Linked DNA regions of Rhinolophus ferrumequinum. The protein of the gene in region 2 interacts with the protein of the main gene of each other region in a pairwise test. Links are inferred from orthologs where the notes say so. Each region holds a gene or a part of one and is shown on either strand. Other genes may lie near its edges. The genes, in order: L3MBTL3, MORF4L1, ZBTB9 and CAMK2B.

Evidence for each region.
Region 1: the proteins of MORF4L1 (region 2) and L3MBTL3 interact in binary tests that used the Homo sapiens proteins (3 or more experiments, as listed by UniProt). The two-hybrid records come from large-scale screens. The link is inferred for Rhinolophus ferrumequinum from reciprocal best matches to the Homo sapiens genes MORF4L1 and L3MBTL3.
Region 3: the proteins of MORF4L1 (region 2) and ZBTB9 interact in binary tests that used the Homo sapiens proteins (3 or more experiments, as listed by UniProt). The two-hybrid records come from large-scale screens. The link is inferred for Rhinolophus ferrumequinum from reciprocal best matches to the Homo sapiens genes MORF4L1 and ZBTB9.
Region 4: the proteins of MORF4L1 (region 2) and CAMK2B interact in binary tests that used the Homo sapiens proteins (3 or more experiments, as listed by UniProt). The two-hybrid records come from large-scale screens. The link is inferred for Rhinolophus ferrumequinum from reciprocal best matches to the Homo sapiens genes MORF4L1 and CAMK2B.

The regions. Positions count from the first base shown.
Region 1 is NC_046286.1:77,800,868-77,808,367, reverse strand, and holds the start of L3MBTL3 (lethal(3)malignant brain tumor-like protein 3), read right to left. Parts: upstream 3,011-7,500; 5' UTR 2,904-3,010; intron 2,229-2,903; exon of another isoform or gene 2,105-2,228; intron 2,049-2,104; exon of another isoform or gene 1,850-2,048; intron 1,193-1,849; exon of another isoform or gene 941-1,192; intron 1-940. UniProt on the Homo sapiens protein: Is a negative regulator of Notch target genes expression, required for RBPJ-mediated transcriptional repression. It recruits KDM1A to Notch-responsive elements and promotes KDM1A-mediated H3K4me demethylation.
Region 2 is NC_046311.1:885,977-893,144, reverse strand, and holds the start of MORF4L1 (mortality factor 4-like protein 1), read right to left. Parts: upstream 3,012-7,168; 5' UTR 2,864-3,011; coding exon 2,824-2,863; intron 1-2,823. UniProt on the Homo sapiens protein: Component of the NuA4 histone acetyltransferase (HAT) complex which is involved in transcriptional activation of select genes principally by acetylation of nucleosomal histones H4 and H2A.
Region 3 is NC_046286.1:3,764,092-3,771,095, forward strand, and holds ZBTB9 (zinc finger and BTB domain-containing protein 9), read left to right. Parts: upstream 1-4,028; 5' UTR 4,029-4,289; intron 4,290-4,442; 5' UTR 4,443-4,517; coding exon 4,518-5,921; 3' UTR 5,922-6,503; downstream 6,504-7,004. Other genes in the region: SYNGAP1 (ras/Rap GTPase-activating protein SynGAP), read left to right, coding at 285-431. UniProt on the Homo sapiens protein: May be involved in transcriptional regulation.
Region 4 is NC_046303.1:208,219-215,936, forward strand, and holds the start of CAMK2B (calcium/calmodulin-dependent protein kinase type II subunit beta), read right to left. Parts: upstream 3,013-7,718; 5' UTR 2,758-3,012; coding exon 2,693-2,757; intron 1-2,692. UniProt on the Homo sapiens protein: Calcium/calmodulin-dependent protein kinase that functions autonomously after Ca(2+)/calmodulin-binding and autophosphorylation, and is involved in dendritic spine and synapse formation, neuronal plasticity and regulation of sarcoplasmic reticulum Ca(2+) transport in skeletal muscle.

The DNA.
Region 1 (7,500 bases), on a different chromosome or scaffold from region 2:
AAGGTCTTTTTCATTTTTTCAGTTTTAAACACATATTGTACTTTGTACTTTTACTAACATTCAAAATGAAATTATCCGCTTTCTCCTGATTAAAAGTTGATCAAATGTATAGACAACCATAAATAAGAAAAAAATAGATTTCTAATCCAGGGAGTGACGAAGCTCAAAGTCCAAAATAAAAGCAAAGTATTTTTCCCATATAAATAATAAGGAATGGAAGTTATAGGGTCTGGGTCTTTAGAATCAATTTGCTCCCCGATTTACTGAACATTCTATTTCTGATCAGCATCCTTTCACACAACATCTGGCTGCTAGCTCAGGTCCTCTAATTACTTCCACGTCTGAACGGACCACGTAGCTCCAAGTAAAGGCCAAACTTTGCTCTCGGCCTTCCGAACTTAAAGATGCGTTTAACCACTAGAGGTCTCCCCTTGGCCAGTTTTGCACGTTCGCTATTTTGCTGCACTTGAAACTTTCCGGAGAAATGCTCTACTCGAGTCAGTGTTTTTCTAAAAACTTGCGCAAAAATCCACGCGACCGAGCTAGCCAGTACGGAGACTCGCGGGCTCCCAAAATCAATAAAGATATCACAAACAACGCTCTAGTAAAAACAAAATTAAAAAATCGACGCACTCGCCCCGGCCACCCCCCTCCCCGTTCTTATTTCTCATCTGTTTCCCTTAACTTAAACTTAGAACAATTAAAAATCTATTTTTGTTTCTGTGCACTTTGAATGATCTCTAATGCATTTTTCTGGCGGTAGACCCGAGGTGGTTAAGGAGCGGGCCAAGGGATGCAGGGAGGGGGAAGGGCCGAGCTAACAGCGCCGAGGAAGTTGCATAAGGAAAGAGACTCCGTTTTTTGGGTCCCCTCAAAAAATCGGCGGGGAGGGGGAGGAAAAGGAAGCGGGGGGAGGGAGGGAAACCGAAGCGACGTTTACCTTCGTCTCCCCGTAGAAGGGTGGGGTGAGAGCCACGGTCTGAGCCACCCCGGAGGGCGACTTGTTACCCCCACCTTCCTCGGAGCGCAGACGGACAGATACCCCCACCCCTCCGCGGGGAAGGTGGGGAGGAGATCGTCCGCTTTTAAACTTTCTCTCACGGTCGCACTGTGGGCCGTGCTTTCACCAGAGGTGGGGGGGGAGGATTATAGGGCCTTTTTTTTTTTAAGGTAATTAAAGTTTTACCACCAGCACTAAAGTTGCGCCCTCCCCCAGCCCATGCCACCGTACCCCGCCCCCCGCCTCCAGGACTCACAAGTTTTCCTCCCTCTCCCCCCCCCACACCAGCTCGCCCGGCGCGCGGCGGATGCCGCGGCTCCTGCGCTTCCCGATCCCCACCCCCGTCGGCCTCTACTTCCCCCCGCCCGGCCGCCGCGGCGCGAGGACGGCCCGCCGGGCCCAGGACGCGAGTGTGCAAAACCCATTATTCCGGAATGGCACACGCACGCGGCTCCAGGCCGGCAACGGCCCCACCTCGGACCCCTCTTTGCCTCCCCAATATAAGGACGGCGTAAACAAGTTGCAGGAAAAGCAGCCCCGCGCCTGCCCCCCCCAACGCCGCCCAGGCGCGGCGGTCGCCGCCGCCCGCCGCTACCGCCGCCTCCCGACACACGCCCGCACCCGGGCCGGCGCGGCGCGGCAGGGCGCGGGGCAAACGCCGCGACGGCGCGGGCTCCCGGCCCGGCCCGCGGCCCGCGCCTTCCCCTGCGCGGACGGCCGCGGCGGGCCCGCGCCGCCTCGCTTCCCGAAGCACTTTCCTGCCTCGGGCAGAAATAAACCGGAGGGTTTATTTTTGTGCAACTTTCCCAAAATGGCGGAAATTGGAGCTGATCTATATGAAATTCTCACACAGTCGGTCGGGAAGGGGGAGGTGGCGAGGAAGAAAATGCAAACTCTCGGCCGCCGAGCCCCGCCGCGGGTCCGTGAGTGTGTGCGTGCGTGTGAGTGTGCGTGTGCGCGGTGGGAGTCGGGGAGGCCTTTCCGCCGTGCACACACAGCACACGCCGGGGAGACGCGCCTGCACATTCAACCAGTCCATTCTCCGCAGCCCAAGCGGGGAGAAAGTGGCCCGGCCTCTTTTCCCACTGCCTCGGTCTCCCGTACTTGTACTTCTCGCGCTCGCTCGCTCGCTCGCTCTCCGGTGCGCGCTCGGCACAAAGGCCACACGGGCGGAGGGGGCCGCAGGGGCGGCGCGCGGGGCTCGTGCCTCCCGCCGCACGGATCCGCGGCCCCAGCCGCCCCCGCGCCCCCCGCCGGCGCCCCCCGCCTCGGCGGCTGCGCTCGCCGCCCGAGCTGCGGCTCCGCGGCGCCCACTCGGGCACGCACCCTGGCGGAGCCCGGCGCCGCCGCGCTTCCCCCACCCCGCGCCCGGTGTCATGAAAGCGACCAAAGTGACAAGCTCGGGGGGGCGCGGGGGAGGGGGCCCACACGCATCCCGCCGCCTGCGCGCCGGCGAGAGCCCGACGCGGCCGCCTCGCCCCGGCTCCCTTCCGCACGGCCCCACACACCCTTCCCCGTGTGCGCGCAAAGAAAAAAATACAAGTCTCTCCTCCCCCCATTTTTTCCTTTCTCTTTTCTCTCTCTTTTGTTCCTCTTTCACACTCGCACTCACTACTTCAGAGTGAGATGCACAGAGACTCCCCCTCCAGCCATTTCCGAGTCACTTGCCCACTTTTCCCCCCAGGATTAAGTTTTCTCCTCTTTCCCAGAGGCGCAGAGAAGTGGGGGAGAAACCCCTTCTGTCCTTTCCCCTCCCCTGATCTGTTTCACAAGACGAGGGTGCGCTTCCTTCTCTCTATAGGTCTCTTAACTTTCATCCTCACACAGAAAAATAAATGAATGGCCTTTGCACGGACAAATCTTCAGATTAATTAGAGATTAGATCCGATCAAACGCTTCTTACCCCCAAAATTTCTCTTTTTTTTTTCTCCGTCTCACGAGTAGTCCTGACAAATGGTCCAGGGCTGCGGGCGCAGTGCGCATGTGCGCGTAGAGTCAGGGCTGGGGAGAGGGGAAACTGCGCTGGTGCCGGTGCCGCCGCCGCAGCCGCCGCCGCCGCCGCTGCCGGGGAGGCTCGCTCTGGCTTCCCTCTTACTGCTGCTGCGCCTTCGCCGCTGGAAAGCAGCAATAAAGCCGATTGGCAAATGCAGCTGCCCGCAGATACTGTTTCAGGTGCATCTTTTCAATATCCTTGTCACTGGCTCAGAGCTGGTTCAAGAACAGTCAAAACAAATCTGAAAGACAGCTAAGGTTATAGATTTCTTTGTCTATTTTTCACTTTACTTTTTTAAAAAGACAATTCTCAGAGCAGCTAATCCACCACGTACTGTTCAATGTATGCATTCAGCCATTAAAGAGTGGGCCTTAGTCTTATACAGACACTACCCAAAGGCTAAATGCATGCCACAGGTCATGAAAAATATGAAATAAAGTTTTAAGCTTTTACGCAGTAGAACCTCCCTCTCTGTAGGACTGGAAGAATGCATAATAAAGTATGCGTGTAAAATGCGTGTTCTTTCCGTTTCTTAAGTGTTGGTCTCTTTGACGGCTTTTAAACATGTTAGGCCTTTGTTATGAAGTACTAGTGTGTTGAGATCCGTACATCAACTTAGAAATCAGTGTTAAAGTACCTTGGCAATAAGCAAGTCGAAGACTGCCTTTTAATGTATTCAATCAAGATGGCTGAGCGGTCCTAAATAGCAAAATCTGCCTTTGTTAAGGCATCAAAACTAGATTAAGAGAGTACTGTATTTCGGTATTGACAACTTTCCATTTATTGACTGTAGGCCTCCTTTGGGCAGCTCACCATTCTCCTTTTTTCCTAGGTACAAGCACTTACAAAATAATTCAAACAATTGAAGTTATGATAACCATCTTAATGTCAATAACAGAGTTTGCTGTGCAAGAAATAAAGTAGCCTGTGTGATTTCAGGAATGATGGAACCAACTCTTACATTTTTGCAGCGGTGGGAAAGTAAGGCAGAGGCCCCAGTCCCTGAAACTGTACTATTTATTTTGTATCTAATAAAGAGTAAAGGAGGCCCTTATCTGCAATTGCTGCCTGAGGCCTAGAATTGAAATATATCACAGATGGAAATTCTGTATTAAAAATCCTTCTCCAAAATGTAAGTAATATTATTCTTGATTGAATTTTTTTCACTTAAGGAATGTTCCTTGAACCAGTTTCAGAAAATAAACTGTTAAATTCTTTCCTCAGGACCATGAAATTACCCTAGAGAAGCAGACCACCAGACTATTTCTTCTGTTGGTCTAATGAGGGAATTCTCCAAGTCAAAAATCAGGACATACGTGTATGGCTTGATATGTACTCAAGAACAAAGGAACAAACACTGTAAGGTTGAAATAAGCTTATAAAATATGCTTCATATGTTGGGAAGCCTTTGGCTTAGGGGTGAAGTGTGGAAGGCTGGGTTACTGAAAGCTATAGATAATCTCATACTGCAAGTTAACTATTCATTTCACCCACCACATCCAACCTTTTTCAGAGCTGCTCCCAAACAGCATTATTAATCTAAATTTCAGCTTCTCTCCTTTTCTCTCTAGTCCTTGAATAATGAGCACTGCAATGGCCAAAGGCCAACTACAGGAAGAGAAGGAAAGAAAGCCCACGAGCTATGTGCAAAACTAAGACCTTACCCCAAAAGAAACTAAAATTAATTTTAGATTCCTCTTTCTGAAAATCCATTTTAGATTCATTCTCTGTAGATAAGTTCTGGATGATATTTCTATTTCACATATATTTTCAGAGATGTTGGTTCAACAGTCTGTAAACCTATTAACGGCCTACCTTGTGCTAAGTGCTCTGCAGGGTGCTGGGGAAATAACACAAGATAAAAACTAAGCCCAAAAGAAGTTAGTCCGGCAAGAGAAACAGTCTAGTAAACTGGGCATTGCATTATAGTATGGTAAATACTGTAGTAGGGGTTTGCAGAGCAAGTACAACTGAGGAGCACCTATAGTAATAAGAAAAGGTTTTCTAAAAACAGTCATAGTTAAGCTGATTTGAAGGATAAGTGTCCAGGGTGTGTGCTTGCACCTTTCCTCTGGGAAGGTGATCCAATCAGAGAAATCCTGAGTAGAAGTCCAAGGGTTTGGAGAACAAGGCTTGCCTGGGGCCTATGCACTTACTGAAGTTCACTAACAAAAATCAGGAGGCTGTCTCTACATTGTCTTTCTCCTCAAGAGATCATCAATATAACCTCAAAGATTTCATCTCAGTAGTTGCCAAGATGTGGTTCAGAATAACAAATATTTTGAAGGTATTCATGTGTAAGAATAATAATGACTTTAAAGGCTGCTACCATTTTTCCTACAAAGAATCCTTTGGCGCCACCACTGTACACAGAGGCACAATGCAGTATTAGAATCTACATAGTACTGCGGTATTCTTCATTCGAACTGGTACTAGTCACATGACCTTTCTCCATCTGTTCCCTAAATGGTAGTATACTAGTGGAAGCATCTTTGCTTTCCTTCACCCTTCCACCATTCAGTCACTGGTTAGTAAGTCATGAATTCTTTCTTTCCGGCATCACTTAATCTCATCATTCTCTACCACTCTCCCCTCTTCCCATCCCCCCTGCTTTACCCTACCACACCTACAATACCAAATCCATCCTTCAGACCAGGTCTATAACTTCCCTGAAATTCTAAACTAAGGTCTTAGCTCACTCCTTTAGTTTCCTTTGTATTTATTTATTTCCAAACTCATTGCCCTCAAAGTAACTTCAGATTACTCCATTCCTAAATATTCGGAAGCTAAAATCATTTTCCATGGAAAATGTGTTAAAACAAATCTTCAGGGTTTCTAAGGCTTCTCACCACCTCCCAGATGAAGATCATTCAAAACCTCTCTCGCTGTACGCCATGCTGCAACCTTCACTCTGTCAACTTCCATTGAGAAACCAAAGCTCCCTTTTCCTAAAACTAAACTTGTTCTGCATTGATAGGACACGGAAAAACTCAAGGACAACCTCCTCCAGGAGCCAGCCCCTCACAAATGAAAAGTGCCCAGGAGTGAAGGCCAAGAAATTTTCATTCTAATCTGGTTCTGTCACCACCCACTGGGAACCATTACTGAGCTTATTTCCCTTTTCAGGGCTTCAATTCTCTCCTGAGTTCGATTAAGAAAACAGAGTAATTGATTTCTGAGGTCTCTTTGAAAACCATGTCCGTCCCCATACTTCCCACCTAACAGGACCACTATCACATTTTAGTACAAATAATGTGGAACCAAGAAAGGAATTTTAAGTAAGGAAGGAAAATCCATCCATCTGCTAGGTATCAAAATGTTATCAGTTTATAGCTCATTCAGTTGGTTTAAACCTGGTACTAATGAGATGAAGGTCATGGGTTCCATTCCCTAATGGCTAGTTAGTTTTGATGTGTTTTCATAGCTACAAACTTCTTTCCTAACCCCAGCCTCCCATGTTATAATGTGTGCAAGTTTTAAGGTAAAATTGAATCTTTCGTAGAAATTTCTAAATGAACAATATTTGAAATCAACCTTTAAATGTATTATCTTACTTTTAAATATGAGTCAAATTATTGATCTTTTTGGCCTACGTAATTGTGTGCTCCATGTTTTTCCAAGTATAAAAATGATGTTAACATTGATTTGGCCAAGATTCTTATTATTGATATTTGTAAGAGCTGAGTTTGATTTTCTTGTTAAGTGTTCTAGATAACACCAAAATGTTCATATAGGCACTCTAATTTGAATCCTGGTTATCTTTCTGTGATACATCTGCATACATTATGAGTACAGAGCTTGTGATAGTGAAATGTAATTGAAATGCTGAGGGTGAAAGGAAAAGGGTATATTATTCATCAGGTAAGGAAAGGATTATAATGTGTATCATGCTCTCAACATCTTAAGGAAATTAATACATAAAGAGCTTCTGGAGAGATGTGAATATTTATTATCATTTCGTTTACATGCAAAGGTAAAGATAGAAATATGACAGACATGTTCAAAGGTGTGGAATAATATGGGAATGTAAACTAACTCCTAAATTAAAAGGAAAAAGACAGGTTATAATTTTCCATAACATACGTACTCATTTAAAGCCCAAATCCAGAAGCCTTATAACTAAACAATGCTAGAGGCACAAGCCAGACTTGAGAAGATGTCTGTGACAACAGCCGCTGATACACTTAGATCCTGTTTAGAATGCTCTTTTCGTTTAACCTGGCCTCCTGGCCACAGCTGATTGGTCCAGGAGTGAGCATTTAATCCAATGACTGAATCGAGTAGCTAGAGGTGGACTATGAGTCAGCAGGGTATGCTTTCCCATATGACTGAAAATGATGAAATTGCACCAGTCATATTCTCACACTTGGCCATGTGAACTGGAAATACTGAAGATAAAGTCAGTTGATAGGCATTACAAAAACTAAACTATTCACAGACAGAAAAAGGTAGAGTGCAAGTTCATTAGCTATTAGGCATTACAAACTACCTAAGTAGAAATCATAAG
Region 2 (7,168 bases):
GAGAGCTGGGCTAGAGCCACCGTTGAATATTGTGAGCAAGGAGACCATGGGGATGTAAATAAGCTAATAAACAGCAGCACCAAAGCTCAGATCTGTGGCTCATAGCTCCTCTCCAGGTACACTTTAAAAGCACCCTGAAAATGGCCTTCCTCCTCACCATCCTTTTGGCTGCCGCCACCAAATGCACTGGGCTTAAGCCCTTTGGCCTCCATTCTAGCTACATGGCCCTAAATCTTCTGTTGAAAAATATAGGCTGGCTGAAGAGTTATGATCCAGGACAACATATGCCTGATTTTCATGAAGTAGTAAAAAGAAAGACTGGTAATTGCGGGAGAAAGAGGAAAACCACGTATTAGATGTTGTTTTTTTTTTAAAAAAAACCTTTCTCCACTCTTAATCCTTTTTAGTATCAAACTACAAAGGTAATTCTGCCCAATGCTCTCAAATTCAAGGTTAATTAAGATTCCAAACCCCCTTTCGCCCACTGGTTTGTGCTTACTAGGAACTCAAAGGCCAGCATTAGCCAGTCTCTTAATTCCTGACACAAGGCAAAGGGCCTTCCCTTTGACAATGGGCCAGGTGCTCGAGTTTCTTTACCATATGCTTTAACAGAATTTCAAGTGGAAGACCAAGTGCAAAAAAAATGTGCTTTTAAAAATTGCTTATATAACGTAAGTTGCACCATTGTTTAAATGAGAAAAAAATGAGTTTTTAAAGGAATCATGGAAAAAAAAAAAGAAAGGAATCATGAAAAACATACTTCTAATAAAAAAAAATAAAGGAATCATGAAAAACATACTTCTAATAATTCATATTTCCGCCATTACATAATCTCAATTCTTCTGCAGTGTTCTATTACAATTGTCAGCACTAACATAACATTCCTTTTTCCTTACGACATATCCTCTGAACATGTCATATAAATAATGATAATTTCTTAACGATGGTTATTATACAACTCAGCTTTGACAGGAGAAGAAAACACATCTGTAAAGTGATAGTAAAGGCAGACTCTCTTAGGTAGCTTTCAAAAACCTAAGGGAACCCTGGTTTCCACTCTTCTCTAATTCACCACTATTGCAGCACACGGACTCATTTGCTGTTATTCCCCTCACGCTGCCATCCCCCTACTTCAGAACTAAAGCACTTCCTCCTCAGAAAGTTACCCGACAATTCCAATCCTCAGTGATTTTCCTCCTTTGATGTCCTAAACTAGGGATTAACTTTTTGTATCATCGACCCTTGACGATCTGGTGAAGCATATGGGCCTTTTTTCCAGAATGTTATTATAAATACATAAACACAGAGTATGACAGGAAACCAACTATATTGAAATAGTTAGCAAAACATTTTAAATATCATTTTCTGTATTACGTGAGCTCAACTGATATAGTAAACATTTAGCTACTGATCCAGTAACTAGCATAATTTTGAAGTAATGAGGAACATAAATGACACTGAATGTACCTTCTGCAACGGTAACGTTGCGATATGAAAACATATTGCTAATACTGAGGCAGACGGCTAGAGGCAGGAATTGTAACAATCCCACCGCACGGGTTTTTTTTGGTGTGTGTGTGGGGGGGCTATATTCCTAATTGAAATAATTTTCAGTTAGACAATAAAAAAATGTTCCCGTCCAAGTTCACGAATCTTCTGAATTACATCCACTAGAATAAGAATCCTGCTCTAAAATAACAAGTAAAAAAATATATATATATATATACCCATAGGAGGTAGTCCCAGCTTCTCAAGGTAGGAGAAAGCGGCTATTAGGAGCCCATCGTTATCAAAAATACCCTTAAAAACCTCTTAAATATTCCATAAAGTTACAAAATACTTGGGCTTTGGACATAGGACTCTAAAAGTAATTCTAAAACACACGCAAGTTTGAAAACCCCTACAACAAAAGACATTGTTTTGCGGCCGTCTCGACATCTGTGCTCAAGCAGCTCGCACATCCACAGCAACGAGGTACGTTTCAGAGCGTCCCTGCTTGTTTACAGGTCTCTGCTTCCATTTTCCTTTCCTATGACGTCTCCACTTGAACACACGGTAACGGACGCGTTAATCGTGAACTCAAAGGGCTGTCTTCCGCTGCAGGGCAGGTTCTGCCGTCAGCCCAAAACCTCGTCGATCAAAAGCCAATTAATCCAAACTCACTCAGCTTCCTAACCAGTTAGTCAAACGCCACCGCCGTGAGTCCACTGCGGACTGGAAGGATGACGCGAGGGCACCAGGGTTCGTGAACAGACGCCTCGTAACACACCATCCGAGCGGCTTTCTCTTCACGAGCAGCCGCCCGGCGAGAGCGCACTCGACCGCCGGGCCGCCAAGCGCTGCCTGCAGGCAGCACAAAGCCGCCGCCGCCGCCGCCGCCCCGCGGAGGCGGGCGCAGGGCGACGCCGGCGGCCATCTTGCGGCGGCCATTTCACGGCGCGGCTCTCCCCAGCCCGGGCGCCCCGCCCGCCCCGCCGCGGCTCGGCGCCTCCAGCCAACGCCGCCGCCCCGGGCCCGAGGCGACCCCGAGCGCCAGCCGTTGTCCGCCCCGCGGGGGCCCGCGCCCCTCCCGCCACATCGCCGCCTCCGCGCCGCCATGGCGCCCGTCCCTCCCGCCGCCGCCCCCACACAACACACGCTGAGGGAGGCTCCGCCGCGCCCGCCGAGCGCCTTCGCCTCACAAAGCGCTGCGCCCGGGCCGCGCCCAAAGCCGCGCCGCAATGCGCTTCTGCACGAAGCCCCGCTCGGCCCCTCCGCGCCACCGCCCCGCCGCGCCCGCCCGCCCCGCCGCCGTTAGATGCCTCTCCCAAGGCCCAGACTCACCCTCCTGGAATTTAGGCTTCGGGTCCTGCTTCGGCGCCATTTATAGGGATTCGCCGCCGCCTCCTCCTTCTCCCACCACTCGCACTACCGCCCCCCACTCTCCAGCCCACCCAGCTCCGCGTCAGACGCCGTGGGCAGCGCCAGCTCTAGATCCCGGGCGCGATTTGCCGGCGCCTGCACACCTCACACAGCCGCGACTGCGCAGCCGCGCCTGCCAACCACCGCCCACCGCGCACGCGCCCTGCGCCGCGCCGCCCGGGGCATGCTGGAAGTGGTAGTTCCAGCCGTTGAGCGGGCGGGGAGGGGCTCCTCCCATCCCCCATCCCTCATCCCCCAGCCCCGCAACCCGGGTGGGTGAAACCCGGACTGATTCGGGGCAGTGTTGGGGCGCGGTGCTGGAGGCGGTCCCTCGCCAGCGAAAACGAGCTGGAAAGACCCAGTGTGCAACCCCACGGGCGACACGGGCCAGCAGGATGTGGCATGAAAGGCCTACGAGGAAAGATGCGTCTAAACACTTTCAGTACTTCCGACGGCATCTCTAGGGGTATCCGCGTGCGTGTGGCAGCGTTGGGGACCCGCGGTCCGGCCACAATCTGCGAGCTCGCTGCCAGCCCGCGCGTGGCTTGAAGAGCCCACCCGGCGGGAGGCAGGAGACGATGGCGCGCTACCTGCCTTCCCAGTAGGCCGAGGTGAATAACGACCTGTAACACCCTCCTCCGAGTCGGGTGCCCACCGCCCCACGTGCGCAGCCTTTTGTCAAGTTTCTGTGAGCTATTACTGAATGTACACACACATCGTGAACGGCTGACCACACATTCAAAAGGCCTTAGGTTGCTCAGCTGCCGAATCGACTTATTGTGAGAATTGCACAAAAAGGCTGAGTGCCTAACAGTGAATTCCTCGCTCGACAAACGTGAAGGAGGACAAGCCTCAAAGGCATTCCACCAAAGGCCCTCGACATCCCCCCAGGCCTTCAGCTTATCTCCATGGCTTCCCTCAACTCCCCGAACGGCTGAGCACCCCACTACTTGCAGACCTCTCTCCATTTCTCTGACTCCTATTTCTCCTTCAGTCTTCCTCCTAACACAAGCCCTTCTTTGAACACCCACAAAGAACCCTCATTCCAGTTGTCTACACACCATCTTGTCTGTCCTAGTCCGCAGAGTATCAACGGAAGAGGCAAGGGCCTCTTTGTGACCCCACCCACCGCACCAAAACTGCCCCGTACACCTCTTCTTTTGAACACAAAATACTTCAAAATAATTCAAATTCAATAATCCATAATTTTAAAAATATAAAAATGAAGACAATGAAAAGTTTCTTTCCCACCTCAGTCCTTTACCCACCCATTCCCCCAACATCGAAACAAAACCAGTGCTTTTCCCAAGGCTTTTGAAATTAAATGAAATGGAGATAACAATTACTTAATAAGGAAAAAAACATTACAATCAAAATTGCCACCCACTAGAACACTGATTATATTGTAGTTGGTGATCACGTAGGGTGGTCACGTGGCCGAGCCTACACCTGAAGAGAAAATCCTTGAGCCACAGGGACGGCCAACAAGAAACAAGGAGATAACAAAACCAAAATCGCAGGAGAGATGAGCGGCCCAGGGAAAGTTTCTAAAGTAGCACATGCACACTAAAGAGCTGTCGGTATAGTTAACTTTTCCTCATTATCACATTAAAAAAAAACCTTAAGGCGGAGATTTAAGATGAAACTTGCAATGAAGTAGCGCTTGTAGGTATACTGCACAGGCGCAGGAAAGGACCCACCTCAACAAACTTTGGCGGGGAGGGAGAGAGAGGAAGGGGTGACTCCCAACCCCAAGAGCCTAGAAACCTGCTGTATCTGTAAACCTCAGGGAGCCACATCCATTCTCTCTTGGAGTCTGCTCCCTTTGTACATCAAGCTTTCGCTTTAATAAACCTTTCTCTCTGCAAAACTATTTCATCCACTCTCTTGATTTCTACCCTGAGAGGGGCAAGGAACCTAGCACCAGTAACAAGATCTGTTTTCTGGGGCTATCATAACAGAGTTCCACAAACTGAGTGACTTACACAACAAATGTATTGCCTCACAATTCTGGAGACTACAAGTCCAAAGTCAAGGTGTTGGCAGGGTTGGTTCCATCTGACCACTGTGAGGCTGACGCTGTTCCGTGCCTCTCCCCACTTCCATGGTTGCTGGCCATCTCTGGTTTCCTTGGCTTGTAGAAGCATCACCCCAATCTCTGCCTTCATCCTCACATGGCGTTCTCCTGTGTGTCTGTCTCCAAATTTCCCCTTTATATAAAGACAACAGTCAAACTGGATTAAGAGCCCATTCTACTCCACTATGACCACATCTAACTAATTACATCTACAACAAACTTATTTCCAAATAAGGTCACATTCTGAAGCCCTAGAGGTTAGGAATCCTACATACGAATTTTAAGAGGACACGATTCAACCCATAATGCTGGTCTTCAACGTGAAATGGATATGTGACATCTTCCCTGACCTCTCACCAGCTGGCGTCTCTCTGCCATGGGTTGCCTTCAGAAAGTTTCTACTTCACCTCCCATCACCTAGCGATGAAGGACTACTCTGTAATAGGGGTACTTAGGGATCTTCATTTTTGATGCTGAAAATTTCCATGTCTTTCTTCCAAAGTCTAAAATTGTGTTTGAATTGATGATAATAACATATGGTAATTGTGGAGAATGCTTGACAATTACTGAGAATGATGGAAAATAAGACAAGGAAAGAATTTGCAGGTGTTAACCTAAAAGCAAAGTTTTGCCACAAGAAATTGAGTTCTTTTAGGAAAACATGTAGGAAAATATAATTACTTGTTTTGAGATATGTTTTAAGACAAAAATGGCCAAGGGAAAATTCTTCAGTTTGAATTACTAACTTAGGGAAAACAAAGGATAAAAAAGTCCTAAGGTTCTGTTCACAAGAGCCACCTGACTAGCTAACTAACACAATATTACAGTGGTTTAAACAGCCCATAATAATCACTAGTCCTTACTTAAAGGAATTTACAAATGTGAAATTAATATGCACAGTGAATCCTGTGAAGTAGAGCTGATCTCCAAATTAACCTTCAATATCTCACAGTATTAAGTTAAAAACACATTTCAAACGTTTTGACAGAGATCACTTCCGCAATATTTAGGAACGCCACGGTTTCACTATTTTTCCTGTCTTCTTATTCCCTGACCTTTGGCACTCCACTGTCCTTCAATAGACCACCCGGTGACAAATATTTCTCTACACCAGATAGCCTTTAACTGTGTATTTATAAGATGAAATCGCCTTATAGTTGCACGGTTCCCTCTTTTAATCTGTTCAATCTTAGTAGTTTTTTGTCCTGTGTTGTTTGAAAATAGACTCCAGATTGAAGTCCGTTATTACCATTGACGAGAACTGAAGCTGGTAAAAAATGATTACCGCTGACGAGACCTAAAATGCAGCTGGAAAACAAAACTGAACGAACCGCCGCCCAACGTGGGGCTCGAACCCACGACCCTGGGATTAAGAGTCCCATGCTCTACCGACTGAGCTAGCCGGGCAGTCAGGAAATGTGCCATTCCTAGCTCACTTCAAAGGAATAAGATTATTTTAACTTGCTCTGAAACTGACTTTTTGCATCTTTTTTTTTTTTTTTTTTAATAATTGTTTTCAGTAAAGTTTTTCACTACTTCCAAATGTGCGTTCCATGCCTGGTTCTGCGCGCACAAACTTACTGTTCAGAAAAGGCACAAACGGCCCTCTAGCGGTCGCGGCGCAGCGGCGGGTGCAGGTGGTCCCAGACCCCCGCCAAGACCAGACGCCAGCGGGAACAGCCAGTTCACCCCGAGATCCCGGGGCGAAGTACACGCCTGTGGCGCGGACCTAGGGTGCCCGACACCCGTGTGCCCGATGCACAAGCAGGAATGCCTGCGCCATCAGCAGAGAAGACTGGAGACCAGAACACGGCTGAAAAGGGGCCTTCTCGGCCCGTGTGGCTTTGAGGTTCCTGGGGTTTTTCTAGGGCCCGACGGTGTTCTACTCGGCCGTGCCCTGTTGTTCACACAATAGACGATGATTCAAAAGCTAAAGCAGGCTCTGAAATCAATTGAAAATACCATGTAGCAAAGAAATGCAAAGACGTTCCGTGCTCATGGATTGGAAGAACCAACATAGTTAAATTGGCCATATTACCCAAAGCAATATACAGATTTAATGCAATCCCATCAAAATTCCAATGGAATTTTTAAAAGAAATAGAACAAAAAAATCATCAGATTTTATGGAACCACAAAAGACCCTGAATAGCCAAAGCAAGCCTAACAAAAAAAGAACAATGCTGGAGGT
Region 3 (7,004 bases), on a different chromosome or scaffold from region 2:
GGAGGTTTCCTGGTGTGAACTGGTTTCCTGGTGTGCTTCCCTGGGTTGAAGGCCCTTGTTAGGAGACGGGGGGTAAGATTCTCTTCTCCCTGAGCCCAGAAGATGTAACTTCTACTGCAGGTGAGAAACAAAATAGGAGGGAGGTTGGGGTTGTCCTGAGGGAAGGGGTGGGACCTGGCATCTGGAGCGGGCTGGCTAAGGGGGAGGCCACTAGAGAGGGCTGGCACCCAGGCCCCCTCGAAGCGTCTCAATAAGTCCGCGCTCTCCTCTTTGGTGTCTTGCAGGAGAGGCAGCTTCCCCCCTTGGGTCCAACAAACCCGCGTGTGACGCTGGCCCCACCTTGGAACGGCCTGGCCCCCCCAGCCCCGCCCCCCCCACCCCGGCTGCAGATCACCGAGAACGGCGAGTTCCGAAACACCGCGGACCACTAGCCACCCAGCATCACACACCTTCTTCCTGACCATGCACCCCACCTGAACAGCACCAACCAACAGGACTGGACTTCGCCGAGGGACAGCGGGGTTGCTCCCTGAAGGCCTCCTTGGGGGGCACCAGTCTCCCCCCTTCACTGCACCATTTCCAGGAGGGAGAGTGGGGACCCTTAGCTGCCCCTTTTTCTTTCCTGTTGGGGTGCTGCCCCCTGTAACCCACCAAGGACCCTTGCCCCAGGACACCACCTACCCCACACAGACCCCTTCACTCCGGGGTGCTATCCCCATCCTCTGCCTCATCGTTCCCCTGAGCACTGGGGGACAGACCCTAGCCCCCACCCTGGGGGTGTGGCACCTCCAAACTTTCAACTTCAGGGTGATTTTTTAGCAGTAACCAGAGCTGACAATCTAACTCCCCTCCACCGCCCCATTTTGGCCTCCCCTGTCCCCCTTGTTATGGGGAGGGGACCCCAGGTGAGGGGGCCCTATTACCCCTTGATTTCTCAGGAGCGTCTGGGGGGGCTCAGCACGCACAAACTCCTTCTCCTCCTACCACTCTTAAATTTACTCCCTCCCCACCCAGAACCCAGATGGGGTGGAGGGGCCACCGGGGCAGGGAGGGGGCGGCAAGGGAGGAAGGGGAATTGTGTCCCCTTCTTCCCACACCTGATCTGCTCTTGGCTGGTCCCAGAGCGGGGTGAGGGGGCTTATGCCCTCCCCTCCCCCAGTATGTTGGGTGGGGTGGAATTGAGGTTAGGGTGAGGGGTTAGGGTTTGGGGGGGGTGTGTGTTGGGGAGGACAGACTAGCTGGTCTGCCCTACCCTGGCACACGCAGCCCCCTGCCCCCCCCTTCTTGGTCTCTACTCCCAGGGGGAGGAGGGAACTTACTCTAGGAAAAGCCATGTCTCTCTCCCCCAGGGTGGGGGGACCTGTGTTGGAGGAGGGGTGTTGGGGGGCCCCTTCCATGACTCTGTCCCCCAGGGGGAGGTAGGACAGGGCTGGGCCACCCTTTCATCCTCCCCCCACCCCAATCTCCCTCCACCTCCCTCCTTCCCGCCAGCTCCACAATTTTTTCGGTGTTTCTCTGTACATAGCTCTCTGGCGGGATAGGGGAGGTAGGATGGATGGGGCTTGGGGTGGGTAGGTCATGGGAGGGGAGAAACCCCTCCTTGACACCCCCTCTTCCCTGACTGCTGTCCCCTCCCCAGCCTTGCCCCCTCATCCCTTCTTGCGTTTGGTATTGAGACTTCGCAGACTCCATCCTTCTTTCTTTTGTATGGACAGTTCCCCTTCAGTCCCCTTCCCCTATACACGTACACCCAGCCGGGGCCAAATTTATACTTATATAAAAGTTGTAAATATGTGAAATTTTATCCCTGTGCCCTTTCCTTGCTTTCCCAACTTCAGACCCAACCCTGGACCCCCTCTCCTCCTCCTCTCTTCTTTGGCTGTTGTAATTATCTGGGGTTTGTACTGTACATATCCGGGGTGTGTGTGTGTGGGCTGGGGGCAACCCCTCTGTACAGAGCTTCCTGGCCCCCTCCCCCCATGCTACCCTCCCCACCCACCACCCTAAGGGTAGGGAGATGCTCTTCCTACCTGTTTTATTTTGTTTTCTCGTTCTCCCTCCCCACCCAGCCCCACTCCCAGCCTTCTCTACCCCACCACTGTCCCTTTTTCTCCACTCCCAGCCCCATTTCCTTTTTTTCTGGAGTGTGTGGTGAAACAGAAAAATCATGTTTAATAAACGGAGATTGTTCTTTTATCACTACGCTGATTTTCCTAGGCTGGGGCCTCCAGGACCAGCACAGTGATCGGATCTGCTTTTTTGGGAGGGGGCTTACAGCCTAGGAGAAACTACCCCTGCATGATGCCATAGTGTGCTCCTAGAATACCACTCTCCCATCCAGTGAGATTTACTGTTTTAGAGCAGGGGTGTTAAAAAACAAAACTCGACTGAGTAAATTTAAAGATCTAATTGGCTTTATTCACTGATTCATGAATTGGGCAGCATCCCGTCTAGCGAATAGGAAGGATCTCAGCCCAGCTACAGAAAAGGAAAGGTTTTTAAAGGTGGAAAGGGGTGGAAAACAGAATTAGCAAAGAACGCATTGTCGCAGGCAAGGTCCCCCTCCTAAGGGGCACAGAAGGGGTCCTCACTATAGAGCTGCAGGTAATTCCAGGTTGACTACCTAAAGCAGGGGTGTCCAAACTGCGGCCCACGGGCCAACTGCGGCTTGCAATCCATTGTTAATTGGCCTGCAGCAAATTCCAAACATATATTTAGTTTACTTAAATAAACCAGGTGAGGCAATACGTACTTCACCTCGAGTGAGTGGCCCGGCTGTGTGTGTATTTTACCGCATACGGCCCTTGGTGAAAAACGCTGAAAAAAGTTGGACACCCCCTGACCTAAAGGTTACATTCGAGGGACAGGGTAAAACTGCAATTAGGTTAAGTATTGATTCTTAGTTTGCAGACATGGGCTTGGCACAGGTGACTCCATTTTGGACCTGCTGTCTGTTTTGTAACAGGGTTTTGCACTGGCCGAACACCCAGTCTAGCTCTCCCCTCACCTCTGCCCCACTTAAGCCCAAGGAGTAAAGCCAAGGAATCTGATAAAAGATTCCAAGTATATATCTACATATATCTTTTTGGGGAAAAAATTACCTAGAAATAAGGTTTAATTGCTGGTTGAAATGCTCCCGTGCAGAATGGAGGAAAGAACGTGGTTCCTTGGCAAACTGGGTTTCAACGCCAGAGCCACCAGTTGCCAGCCTCGGTTTTCTCCCTGTGGGGACAGAGTCCAGAGTGCAGTTTCCAGGCTCTCGGCCTCACGAGGAAGGGTGCTGGCTCAGGTAGTAAATGGCCATCAACTGTGATCGGATGGCCATCAGCTGTAACCAGTGAGCCATTGGCCACTAATATAACTGCTGTGGCTATGCTAGCAGAAAATGGGGGCTAGCAAGATGGTGGCTGAGCTGGTGAGAGCTGATTGCAGTTAGCACGGCGGATTGCAGTTAGCAAGTGAGGTTGGTTGGCAGAGAGAGAAGTGGATGGCGGGTTGCGTGTGGCTTCTGCTACCTGTGTCTCCAACCCATCCGCCAGTGAGACTATAGTGGTATGACTCCCCTATCTAGGGCTCCATGGGTGTTCCTTTTTGGCCTCATCATGTCCTGCGTTCTTATGTGGGGAGCGGGGCCAGAGACCCCGCATGCCACCCTGCATGACACCCTCCTCCCCTCCCCCAAGAAAACAGGAGGGCAACACCTACCTCGCAGGGCAGGGGTAGGACCCAGGGAGATGTGGCCAGTGCCCAGCCCACACAGCAGGTGCCCACTTAATCTCGCCCTCTCGGCACCTGGCTGGGCACCCGCAGTACATTTTATCACCAAGGCGGCTCACTAGTCTCCCCTCCTACCGCTCAACGCTTCCCAGGCCCGACCCCCGGGCCTCCCGCAACGGCGGCCGCCGTGAGACGAGCACCGCTTCTCGCCCGCGCAACCAATCAACACGAGGCCCGTCGGCCTCCGATTGGCTGTTCGTAGCCCGCCCTCCGCATCCGGCGTCGGCGAGCGCCGGGAGGAGGTGGCTTCCGGCCGGCGGCGCGGTGGTGGTTTAGACGCTCTCCGGCCGCGCGGCGCGTGTACCGGCGGGGGCGTGGCGGCGGGAAGGACGAGGACGGCGCGGCCGGCGCTCGGGGTCTCCCGGAGCCGCGTCTTCCCGGGAGCCGCGCCCTGTGGGCACCGTAGGGGAAACGGAGCGGCGGCAGGAGCCGCCCAGGGCCGGGGGTCGGTCAGGCTCGTGGCTGAAGGTCCTCCTCATCTTGTTCCGCACGCGCTGGAAGTGAAACCCCTGGTTGGTGCTTGGTTGTTTTTGTTTTGTTGGTGGGGATGTGCGCGGGCCTGATCTGCAGCAACCATCACTGAAAATGGGGGGTGGGGAGGCGGGTGGTATCTGAGGTGATATGGTCCCTTTATCCGATGTGACCCCCGTCTCTTTCCACCGCAGCTTTCATCCCGCGTGGGGTCTTCCACGCCCCTCATTTGCTCTCGATCCTGAGACATCTCTCCTTCCTAGGAGGCCATGGATACCTCGACGCCTTTGCCTCCGGTCCCCCCGTCCCCGATCTGCAACCCAGCGCCACGGACCATCCAGATAGACTTCCCTCAACATAGCTCGTTGCTGCTGGAAGCCCTGAACCGTCACAGGCTAGAGGGAAAGTTCTGTGATGTGTCGCTCCTGGTGCAGGGCCGGGAGCTTAGGGCTCACAAAGCAGTGCTGGCTGCTGCCTCTCCTTACTTCCATGACAAACTTCTTCTGGGGGACGCGCCACGGCTCACTCTGCCCAGCATCATTGAAGCTGATGCCTTCGAGGGGCTGCTCCAGCTCATTTATTCAGGGCGCCTCCGCCTGCCGCTGGATGCGCTCCCTGCCCACCTCCTTGTGGCCAGTGGCCTCCAGATGTGGCAAGTAGTAGATCAGTGCTCAGAGATCCTGAGAGAATTAGACACCTCAGGTGGTGGAATGTCAGCCCGTGGAGCGACCCCTTGTCACACACTTCTTTCCACCACGTCCTCTACGGGAGGTTGGTGCATTCACTCTTCCTCTTTCCAGACTCCAGTGCAGTCTTCTGCTTCTACCGAGAGCCCCTTTGGAGGGGAGGGGAGTGAACTGGGAGAGGTGCTACAGATTCAGGTTGAGGAAGAGGAGGAAGAGGAGGAGGAAGAAGATGATGAAGACCAGGGGTCAGCAACACTCTCTCAGACTCCTCAGCCTCCGAGAGTATCATGGATTCCCCGCACTCATGGATCCCACCCACTGCCCATGTCCACCGTTCCCTGTAGGCTTCCGGAGGATGGGAGTGCACCAGCTGAACCTCCTGCCCCTCTAACCACACTGCACCCCAAAATCTTCTACGTTAAGCAGGAACCTTTTGAGCCTAAGGAGGAGATATCAGGAGGTGGGACTCAGTCTGGAGGAGTAAAGGAGGAGACCAAAGTGGTTCCTGGAGGGGACGCTGAAGGGACTAGAGAGCTGGGGTTCTTGCTTCCCTCAGGAGCAGGGGCAGCATCTGGGGAAGGGGGTCCATCCTGGAAACCCGTGGATCTTCATGGGAATGAGATCCTGTCAGGCGGTGGGGGACCTGGGGGTGCAGGGCAGGCTGTGCATGGGCCTGTGAAGCTAGGTGGGGCACCCCCTGAAGATGGAAAACGCTTTGGTTGCTTGTGTGGGAAGCGGTTTGCAGTGAAGCCAAAGCGTGACCGGCACATCATGCTGACCTTCAGCCTTCGGCCCTTTGGCTGTGGCATCTGCAACAAGCGCTTCAAGCTGAAGCACCACCTGACGGAGCATATGAAGACCCATGCTGGAGCCCTGCATGCCTGTCCCCACTGTGGTCGTCGGTTCCGAGTCCATGCCTGTTTCCTTCGCCACCAGGACCTATGCAAGGGCCAGGGCTGGGCCACTGCTCACTGGACTTACAAGTGACCACTGAGGCCATACACTAACTTCCAGGACGAGAGCTACTGCTGCTGATGACGCTTACCCCTCACTACCGTGACACCCCAGTCCTGGATCTTGTAATCATGCCAAAAGGAGAGATACATTATGGACTCTTGTTCTTGGGTGTGGGCCTCAACCTGGCAGATTTGGAAACTCAGATTTTTCATCCCACTCCAGGTTTTGACTAATCACCCTTAGCCAAGTGGTTTACAGGCCATATGTAAATTGGTCACTTGCCCACAATAGACCTGCTTTTCATACAGGAAACCAGATTGCACATTAGAAGTTTATCTGAAGAGAGAAAAGTTAGAACAAGAAGACAAAATGATAAATGTTTCATTCAGTCTCCATGAGGAGTAAAAGGGGCTGGTCTCCACCTAGGGGTATGTTTGATTCAGAGCTTTAGTAATTCAGAGGCTAAGCTCTAAGTTTCCTTTCCCTCATCATAGGGGAAATGTGAACAAAATTCTTTTTTTTTTTCTAACAGGACTTTATTGGGGAACAGTGTGTACTTCCAGGACTTTTTTCCAAGTCAAGTTGTCCTTTTGGTCTTAGTTGTGGAGGGCGCAGCTCAGCTCCAGGTCCAGTTGCCGTTGCTAGTTGCAGGGGGCACAGCCCACCATCCCTTGCGGGAGTCGAACCGGCAACCTTGTGGTTGAGAGCCCGCGCTCCAACCAACTGAGCCATTCGGGAGGCAGCTCAGCTCAAGGTGCCGTGTTCAATCTTAGTTGCAGGGGGCGCTGCCCACCATCCTTTGTGGGACTCGAGGAATCGAACTGGCAACCTTGTGGTTGAGAGCCCGCTGGCCCATGTGGGAATCCAGCGGGCAGCCTTCGGAGTTAGGAGCATGGAGCTCTAACCGCCTGAGCCACCGGGCTGGCCCCAGAATTCTGAATATGTACTTTCCTTATGTCTTTCCAGAAGTCCCTCAGGGTGTAACTTGCTTTCTCACCAGTAGACACCTTCCCAACACCTTTATGTTTATGTTGTAGTTGAACACTTTAAAGTTGAGCGCTCCATGTGTCACCCCTGGGAACCCCTGTAACAGAGAGCATTCCCCCCTCAGCC
Region 4 (7,718 bases), on a different chromosome or scaffold from region 2:
CCTATATATTAGTTATGGACACTTCCATCTGTGTGTAAATTAACCAAAAAAGGAGGACAAACGCCACGAGCATGACAGCAGCTGGAGGAAATGGCGCTTCACACTGATCTGTGATGCTTCACGGCTTATAACTTATAAAAACAACTTAAAGCCAAAAGGGCAATCGAGGAGGGACAGTTTTAAGTTCTGGGCAGAACAGACACACTACTCCGGGAAGTGTTCTCAATTTTAAAAATCCACCCATGGGGAACATAATTTGGTGGTTACCAGAGGGTAAGGGGGTTGGGGGGTGGGGGATGAGGGTGAGGGGGATCAAATGTATGGTGATGGAAGGGGAGCTGACTCTGGGTGGTGAACACACAGTGTGATTTATGGATGATGTGATACAGAATTGCACACCTGAAATCTATGTAATTTTACTAACAATTGTCACCCCAATAAATTTAAAAAATAAAATTAAAAATCCACCCAGATTAAAATCAAGAGAAATCACATTAAAACCACACTGCGGGAGGCTCTGTGCTGGGCTGAGTGTCCTACCCAGCTCTGTCCTGTCTGGGGACCCCCAGCTCGAGGTGGCTCTTAACCCAGGACATGGGTCACGTCAGCCCGGCCCAGCCGGACAAAGGCAGGGCCCCAGAAAACAGCTCCTTTGGCCCTCGGACCCTGTAGTCCAGGCCCCAGTGGACAATGCCTGGCAGTTGGCGGGGGTAGAGAAAGGGATGAGGGAGACCGGAGAAGCTGGCAGCCACGTCACAGGGGCAGCTGTGGGCCAGTGGCCTGGCCTTCCCAGGCAGGGCGCTCAGCGTCATCTGACTGGTGCCAGGGGCTGCAGCTTTAAATAAACTTGGACACATCCACCTGGGCCAGGAAGCAACACCAACTGTGTCTCTGGGAGGCCAGGCACTGTCAACAACCAGCCAACATGGCCACTGAGGACCCCAGCCCTGGGTGGGGTGGCTGAATGCCCAGTTCCTGCAGTCACCCAGCAGGGCTGAGCCTCACACCTGGGGGCGCTCCACAAAGGGCTCCAGGCCTAGCTGAATCCCTGTTCCCCTCCCTTCCTCTCAGGCCCTGCCCCTCCCCCCACACACACACTAGGCCTCTTCACCCACTCAGGCCGGGGTAGGGGTGCACCTGCACTGTGGGGGCTGCCACCCGCTCTGGCTCCCCAGGACAGCCCCAAGGACCCCACTTCCCAGTGTGGCTGTGGGTGGCAGCTGCCATGCTCAGCACTCACTGCTGGGACCAGAGCTTCACAGGAATGTGAAGCCAGGGTCATCCAGCAAGGAAATGGGGGCTCACAGAGAGGCAGCCCTGAGGGTGAAGAACAATGTGAAGTCCCCTGGAAGGGATGCCCTTCCTCCCACTGCCGCCCCCAGCTGGTGTCGTGGGTGGGAACCGGGGAAAGCAGACCCTGCCCTTACCTCTGCTCTGTTTCCAGGTCCAGCCGCCTTGGGGCCCGACACCCAACCAACCCCACTCAAGGGCAGGGAGTTTGTGGGTACGCCGCCCAGCCTTGGCCCCACCATGGGCCCCTGCAGGTCACCCCGCAGCCCCTAGGCCTGGGTATTTGCACCCCAGCCTCCTCCCAACTCCGCACCCACAATCATCAATGGTCAGCATGCACCCCAAACAAGGTGTCAACACAGACATTTGTTTAGAAAGAGAAAGAAAGGATCCGCCGCTGGGTGTGTAAGAGGAAACCTCCGCAGCTGGGATGGAGGACGATGGAGGAGGACGGGGCTCATTGGCAGCAGGCTGGGGTAAAGCCCCCCGATTCACGGCGCCAGCAGCCCCGGCCACAGAGAAGCGCCTGACGGGCTTCGTGATGCAACCCCCCCCGCAAAGCCAGGGCTCAGGCCCTACACCCTTCACATTGGCGAGTAGAGCCGGGAGCCACCTGTTCCCAGATGTGGCCTTACCTGAAAGGAGCCTTCAAACACCTCCCCACCGGCCCCCACCTACCTCTAGGACTCTGAAATCAGGAGCCCCCGCAGGCTCCCCACCTGACCGCCTTATCTCCAGCCCAGTGACCTAACCCCAGTTCCCTGACCTCGGTTTCCAGCTCTCCAGACTCCTCCTTCCGGAAGGATCTCGGGAAAATCCCCCAGAACAGATTCCCTGGGGGACCCGCGGCATAGGTTGTTCTCACGCGGCCCAAAGCGCAGCGAGCACCCCCGCCCCACGACACCCGCGCGGATGGAGCCACGAGGAGGAGCAGGCGCCCAAGCAGGTCCTGCCGCCCCCGCGCCCAGCCGCTCAGTGGGGGTGGGGACAGCACGGCCCACACCAGGGATGACCCTCGGCCCCGGCTGCCCCCTCCCTCACGCTCCAGGACCCAGAGCTGCCCAGGCGCGCCCCTCCTCTCTGACCTCCCGCCGCCAAATGCGTCACGTCTGCGGGGCGCTCGGGGGACACCTGCTGCCGCCCCCGCCGCACTGATCCCCACGTCCCGAGCCGGGGCTTCTGGCTGGGCGACCTCGCTGAGCAGGACCAGGCAGGGCCGAGCACGCGGAGGTCCGGCGACCTGGCCAGGAGCCCAGGGGTCCGGGCCTCGGAGCCGGTGCGTTCCGGGCCCGGAGCCGGTGGGAGCCGGGGGCGCGCCGGGCCGCAGTGCGCCCGGAGCTGGCGGCGCGGAGGTCCGGGTGTCCGGGGTCCCGGCCCCGCACGCACGCGCCGCGGCTCTTACTTGCCAATATCCTCGTAGAGCTGGTACTCGTCAGTGAAGCGGGTGCAGGTCACCGTGGTGGCCATGGCGGAGACGGACGGGCTCGGCGTGCGCTCTGCTGCGCTCGGGCGGCGGCGACTCCGGCTCCCGCTCGCGGGCACGGCGACGCGGACGCGGGCGACACCTCGGCTCGCAGCGCCAGGAGGGGGCCAAGCTGGGCTGCGAGCGCACGCGAGATCTGCGCGCTCCGTGCCCGCCAGGAGCGCGCTGCACACCTACGCGCGGGGAGCGCGGGCGCTGCTGTCACCGCCGAGCCTGCCGTGCCTATCCCGCCTGCCGCCCCCTGCGCGAGCCCCGCACCCGCGCCCTCATCCGCACCCGCGCCCTGCACACGCACGCGCGCGCGCGCGCGCACACACACATGTGCCCTGAACACAAGTCCTTGGAGCTCAGGGCCACGCACAGAACCACAGCCGGCTGCGTCTGCTGGCGACCCTCTGCGCGCGCGCACACAAACGAGACCACACAGTGAATCCAACCCCCTCTCGCCTTAAGGCCCACCTTGCCCAGGACTGCGAGAGGGCACTGGGCGCACAGGGGATGGGGGCACGTGTGCTACGTTCCACAGGATTCATCCCTCACACCCCTGGGAGGAGACTCTGTACTGACCCGTCCGCACACCGCATGGTCCTGTCACCCCCAAACCAGAGTGCGCACTGGAGATCCTGGGGGTGGGAGGTGAAAGGTTGGAGGCTGCCCCCTGCCCATGGTCCCAAACGCTCCCTCCCTCACTCCTCCTAGCCTTGGGTGCTGGGGTGTCTGCACTAGAGGTCCCAGCAAGGGGGCGGTTGGAGTTCAGGCCCAGGGTCCTTGAGTCAGGGGAACTCGTGTCCTGAGCCCCTGCTGGGGTAGGAGGACACATTCTCCCCTGTGCCAGGCGTCATCCACCTGCCTGACCCCCACCTCCTCTGGTCTGATAGAAGAGGGTCCATCCTGGGGGAGGAGGAGGAGGGAGCACGAGGGCTGGCAGGAGAAGCTGGCTGACCCCAATTTTCCACAGAAGAATCTCCCCCAGGGCCACGCCCAGGCTGCCGCCTAGAATGGGGACTTCAGATCCAGAAGAGGACCCACCGGGATCTGGTACCCCCACACTCCCTGAGCGGCCGGGGCCAGGGCCCATCCTGGACTGGCCCTGAGGAAGGAAATTTTCAGCTAGCTCTGGACTTGGGTTGCCTGGCTGCCCTGACGTGAGCCACTGACAGCACGGCAGGTAGGCTCCCAGTGGTGGGCACTTGGCCTGCCCTGCTCCTGCTCATCACTCACCTTGGTGGCCAGTCCAGGGCTGGCCCCAGAGGCCACAATAAATGTTTCCTGGATAAAAGATCACATCGAAGGGATTCTGGGGTGGAGGCAGCCAGGGCCTGCTCCACCAAGTTGCCTTTGGCACATGGATATCGGACAGATTAGCAGACCAGGTGGGACCAGTCCAGGTTCTGCGTGCTTTTGCAGACCCAATTTGCACCCAGAAGACAGAGGCCAAGGATAATCGGGTGAGTCCTGACTGGGGGCAGTGAGGGGCCTTTGGGGGCATGGCCTTGATTGCAGCAGGGTTGGCAGGATGGGAGACCACTGCCATGCCACGGTGCTGGGACCAGAGCCCTCAGCTGTCCTGACAGACGATACCCACCTTTCCTGTGAGGCCCCTCACAGACCAGCAGAGGCTTGCTCTGGGGTTGTGTTCAACCCCGCAGGAGCCTCTCCCCCAACATGCTGGGCCATCTGCGTGGTTCTGAGCTCACAATAGAATGCAAAGAGCAAACAAAACAAAATTGCACCCCTGGGCAAATCAGTCTCTCTCCAGGCTACAAGTAGACTCTGGGTGCTGCCAAGGTCACACACTCGTACCAGCGCGAGTCCATGCCATGATGAAGTGACATTAAAGGCATGACGACGCTGATTTGCTTACCTGATTCTACATGAATTATCTTATTTAATCCTCAAACAATCCTAGGAGGGTTATACTATTACTATACCCATTTTATTAGAAGGGAGAAAGAGAGAGAGGTGACACAGCTAGAACATGCTTGGGACTGAAACCCCACTGCTCTACAACGCCTCGTCTTATTTTCACACACTCGCACACTCACACATACACACAGTAACACACATGCATGGCTTCCACAGCAGCACTCTGGGTGCTTTGTTTTGAGGTCCCTTTCCCTGGGTGAGGAGGCTGCCCAGGTCCAAGGTTATACAAGAAGTCAGGGTCACCAAAGGGGTGCAGTTTGAGCCCCCTTTTCTCCTGTTAGGACCTGAAGTTCCCTGCGCAGTCCCTCCCCTGGGCTGAAACATTAAAGGTGCGACGCAGAGCAACCTTGAGGGCAGAGCACCATTATGGGGAACGGCTGAGCCTCCAGAGACCCTGACAGTCCTACACAGCCCAGCCCCTCACCCCACTCACAGAGCAACTCGCTCCCCACCTCCAGGCCCAGAGGGCTCCTCCCCCGCAGAGTGGAAAAGCTAGAAGAGTGAGGGGCTGCCAGCCATAACTCTTTCTGGGGCTGCCCAGAAGGCCTCTCATCTGGGTTTTGCTTCCCATCCCTCCTTTTGGAAGGGACCTCTTCCACCCGCACCCCCATGTCATCTCCGCCTCCCCCCTTATCCTTTCTAGCTGGCTTTCATCAGTGAGGAGGGCTCTCCCTCCCAGGTGGCAGCTGGGGCGGGTGTGGGGAATATCAGCTCTCAGTTCTGGGAGGTTATTGTTAGGATGGTCCCCATGGCAACGAGCATCACATCTGCAGAGCCAAAAGTGCTGCACTGGGGCTCAGTCCCCCAAGGAAAGCCATGGCATCCTCTGTCCCCTCACCCCCAGGGGCTGCTGTTATGGGAGGGATGTCACTGCCACCACCTCTCTCAGGCACAGTCATCTGCCTGGACGAGCATGCTGCAGTTCCCTAGAGCACAAAGATCCCAGTCATCCATGTCCAATCACCTGGCCCATGATGTGGCAGCCCATGCAGGATGCTGTGGCAAACATGTGGGAGGACGATTTGGTAGTGATGGTGATGATGATGGTGATGGTGGTGATGGTGGTGATGGTGGTGGTGGTGGTGGAGGTGATGGTGGTGGTGATGTGGTGGTGATGGTGGTGATGGTGATGGTGGTGGTGGTGGTGATGGTGGTGGTGATGGTGATGGTGGTGTGGTGGTGATGATGGTGGTGATGGTGATGGTGGTGATGGTGGTGGTGGTGGTGGTGGTGGTGATGGTGGTGGTGGTGGTGGTGGTGGTGGTGATGGTGGTGGTGGTGGTGGTGGTGGTGGTGGTGATGGTGGTGGTGGTGGTGGTGGTGGTGATGGTGGTGGTGATGTGGTGGTGATGGGGTGATAATGGTGGTGATGGAGGTGACAGCGAAGGTGATGGTGGCCAAGCTATAATTTACAATGTACTCACTACATACTGGAAAATCTGAAGGTCTAACACCCACCACCTCATGTAAACGTTATAGCAACCTTGCAAGATAGGGGCTATCGTTAGCCTCCTTTTACAAATGAGGAAACTGAGGCACAGAAAGACTGTAACTGGGCTCAGGTCACAAAGCCAGTTTGTGACAAAACCAGTATTGGCACCCAGATCTGCCTGACTTTATATCTGCTACCTTTAGCCACTGTGTCTGCTCAAGGGTGACTACTGGCCTTGTTCATGTGGTTACTGTGTGCCATTTGTGCCTGGCTCTGCCCAGCACCGAGTCACACTTGGGAATGAGGTGGGCTCATGCCGAAGACCAACAAGAAACAAATGTAAAAACACTGAGTAGTGATTTGCTGGAGAGTGACAGGGTGATAACTTCAGAGTACGTGCCAGGGGAAGCCCCTCTGAGGAGGTGACATTTAAGCTGAGATCTGAATGACAGAGACACTAGGATAGGGGAAGGGCACTGCAGGCAGAAGCAGCCATGATGCAAGGGCTCTGTGGCTGGAGCTGGCTGGTGTGTTGGGAAAGAAGAAGGGGGGAAGAGAGGGCCTGCAAGGCACCGCCATGCTCTATCATTTGTTCATCTGCGCGTTCTGCTTGGTACCTGAGTCCCCCAAGGGAGTCTGAGCCACCTAAACACTAACAAACAAAGTGACAAAGCTAACCAGTTAGCCTGGGACACAGCGAGTGTCCGGCATGAAGGACATGAGGGGACAGACCTGCAGACCTCCTCTTTTTCACTAGGAATCCAAGCCCAAGGTGGGCAGCACTGTATGCAAAAGACCATACGCTCAGCGTACAGGCGTCCCTGCTGGGCCCGCTCGCGGGCAGGGGCTCAGCCCTGCTCCTGCCACCTCTCCTGAACCCCTCCCCGGCCTCTGGTTGACTGGGACCCCCTCCCCAAGCCCCAGGCCAGTGGCCTGTTCTGGTCCAACTCCATCGCATCCCTCCTGGTTGGTGTCACCACCATTCTTCTGGAGATGCCTGTGACGCTGGGCCCCAGAAGTCCAGGCTTTGTCCCAACCCATCTCTCCGCCGACCTTGTATTGGGCTCACACAATTGTCTCCCTCGACCAGGGCTGTTCAGGCAGCATGACACCAGTGTCCCAAATAGCTAGGAGGGGCCGGGGAGCCACTCCCAGATTGTACCTCCTTCACCATGGACGCCAGGGTTTTGTTGTGGAAACTGCATCTTGGTGTGAGTCAGGAGACCTGCACTCAGGCCCCTCCTGTGCCCACCTGCTCACCTCCTACCCGTAAGCACACAGGGCATGCGTGCTGAAGTGGCTATAGGCCTGGGGTTCCCATCGCAGACACAGAGGACCTGTGTGTATCAGCCAAGGACTTCCCTGCCCCCAAGCACCCAGAGGGGGCACCTCTGCTGCCAGGGCTGGCTCTCTTCCTAGTGTTCCAACATAGAGACCCAGCCATTGCGTCCAGGTCCCTAGGAGTCGGATAGCGAAAAGGAGGATGGACTGTGGGCACTCATCAGCTTCTGGCCACATGACCCTCCCCTGACACCCATCGGCCAGAATCTAATCAAGACTTCACTTAGCTCCAAGGTGCTGAGGAAA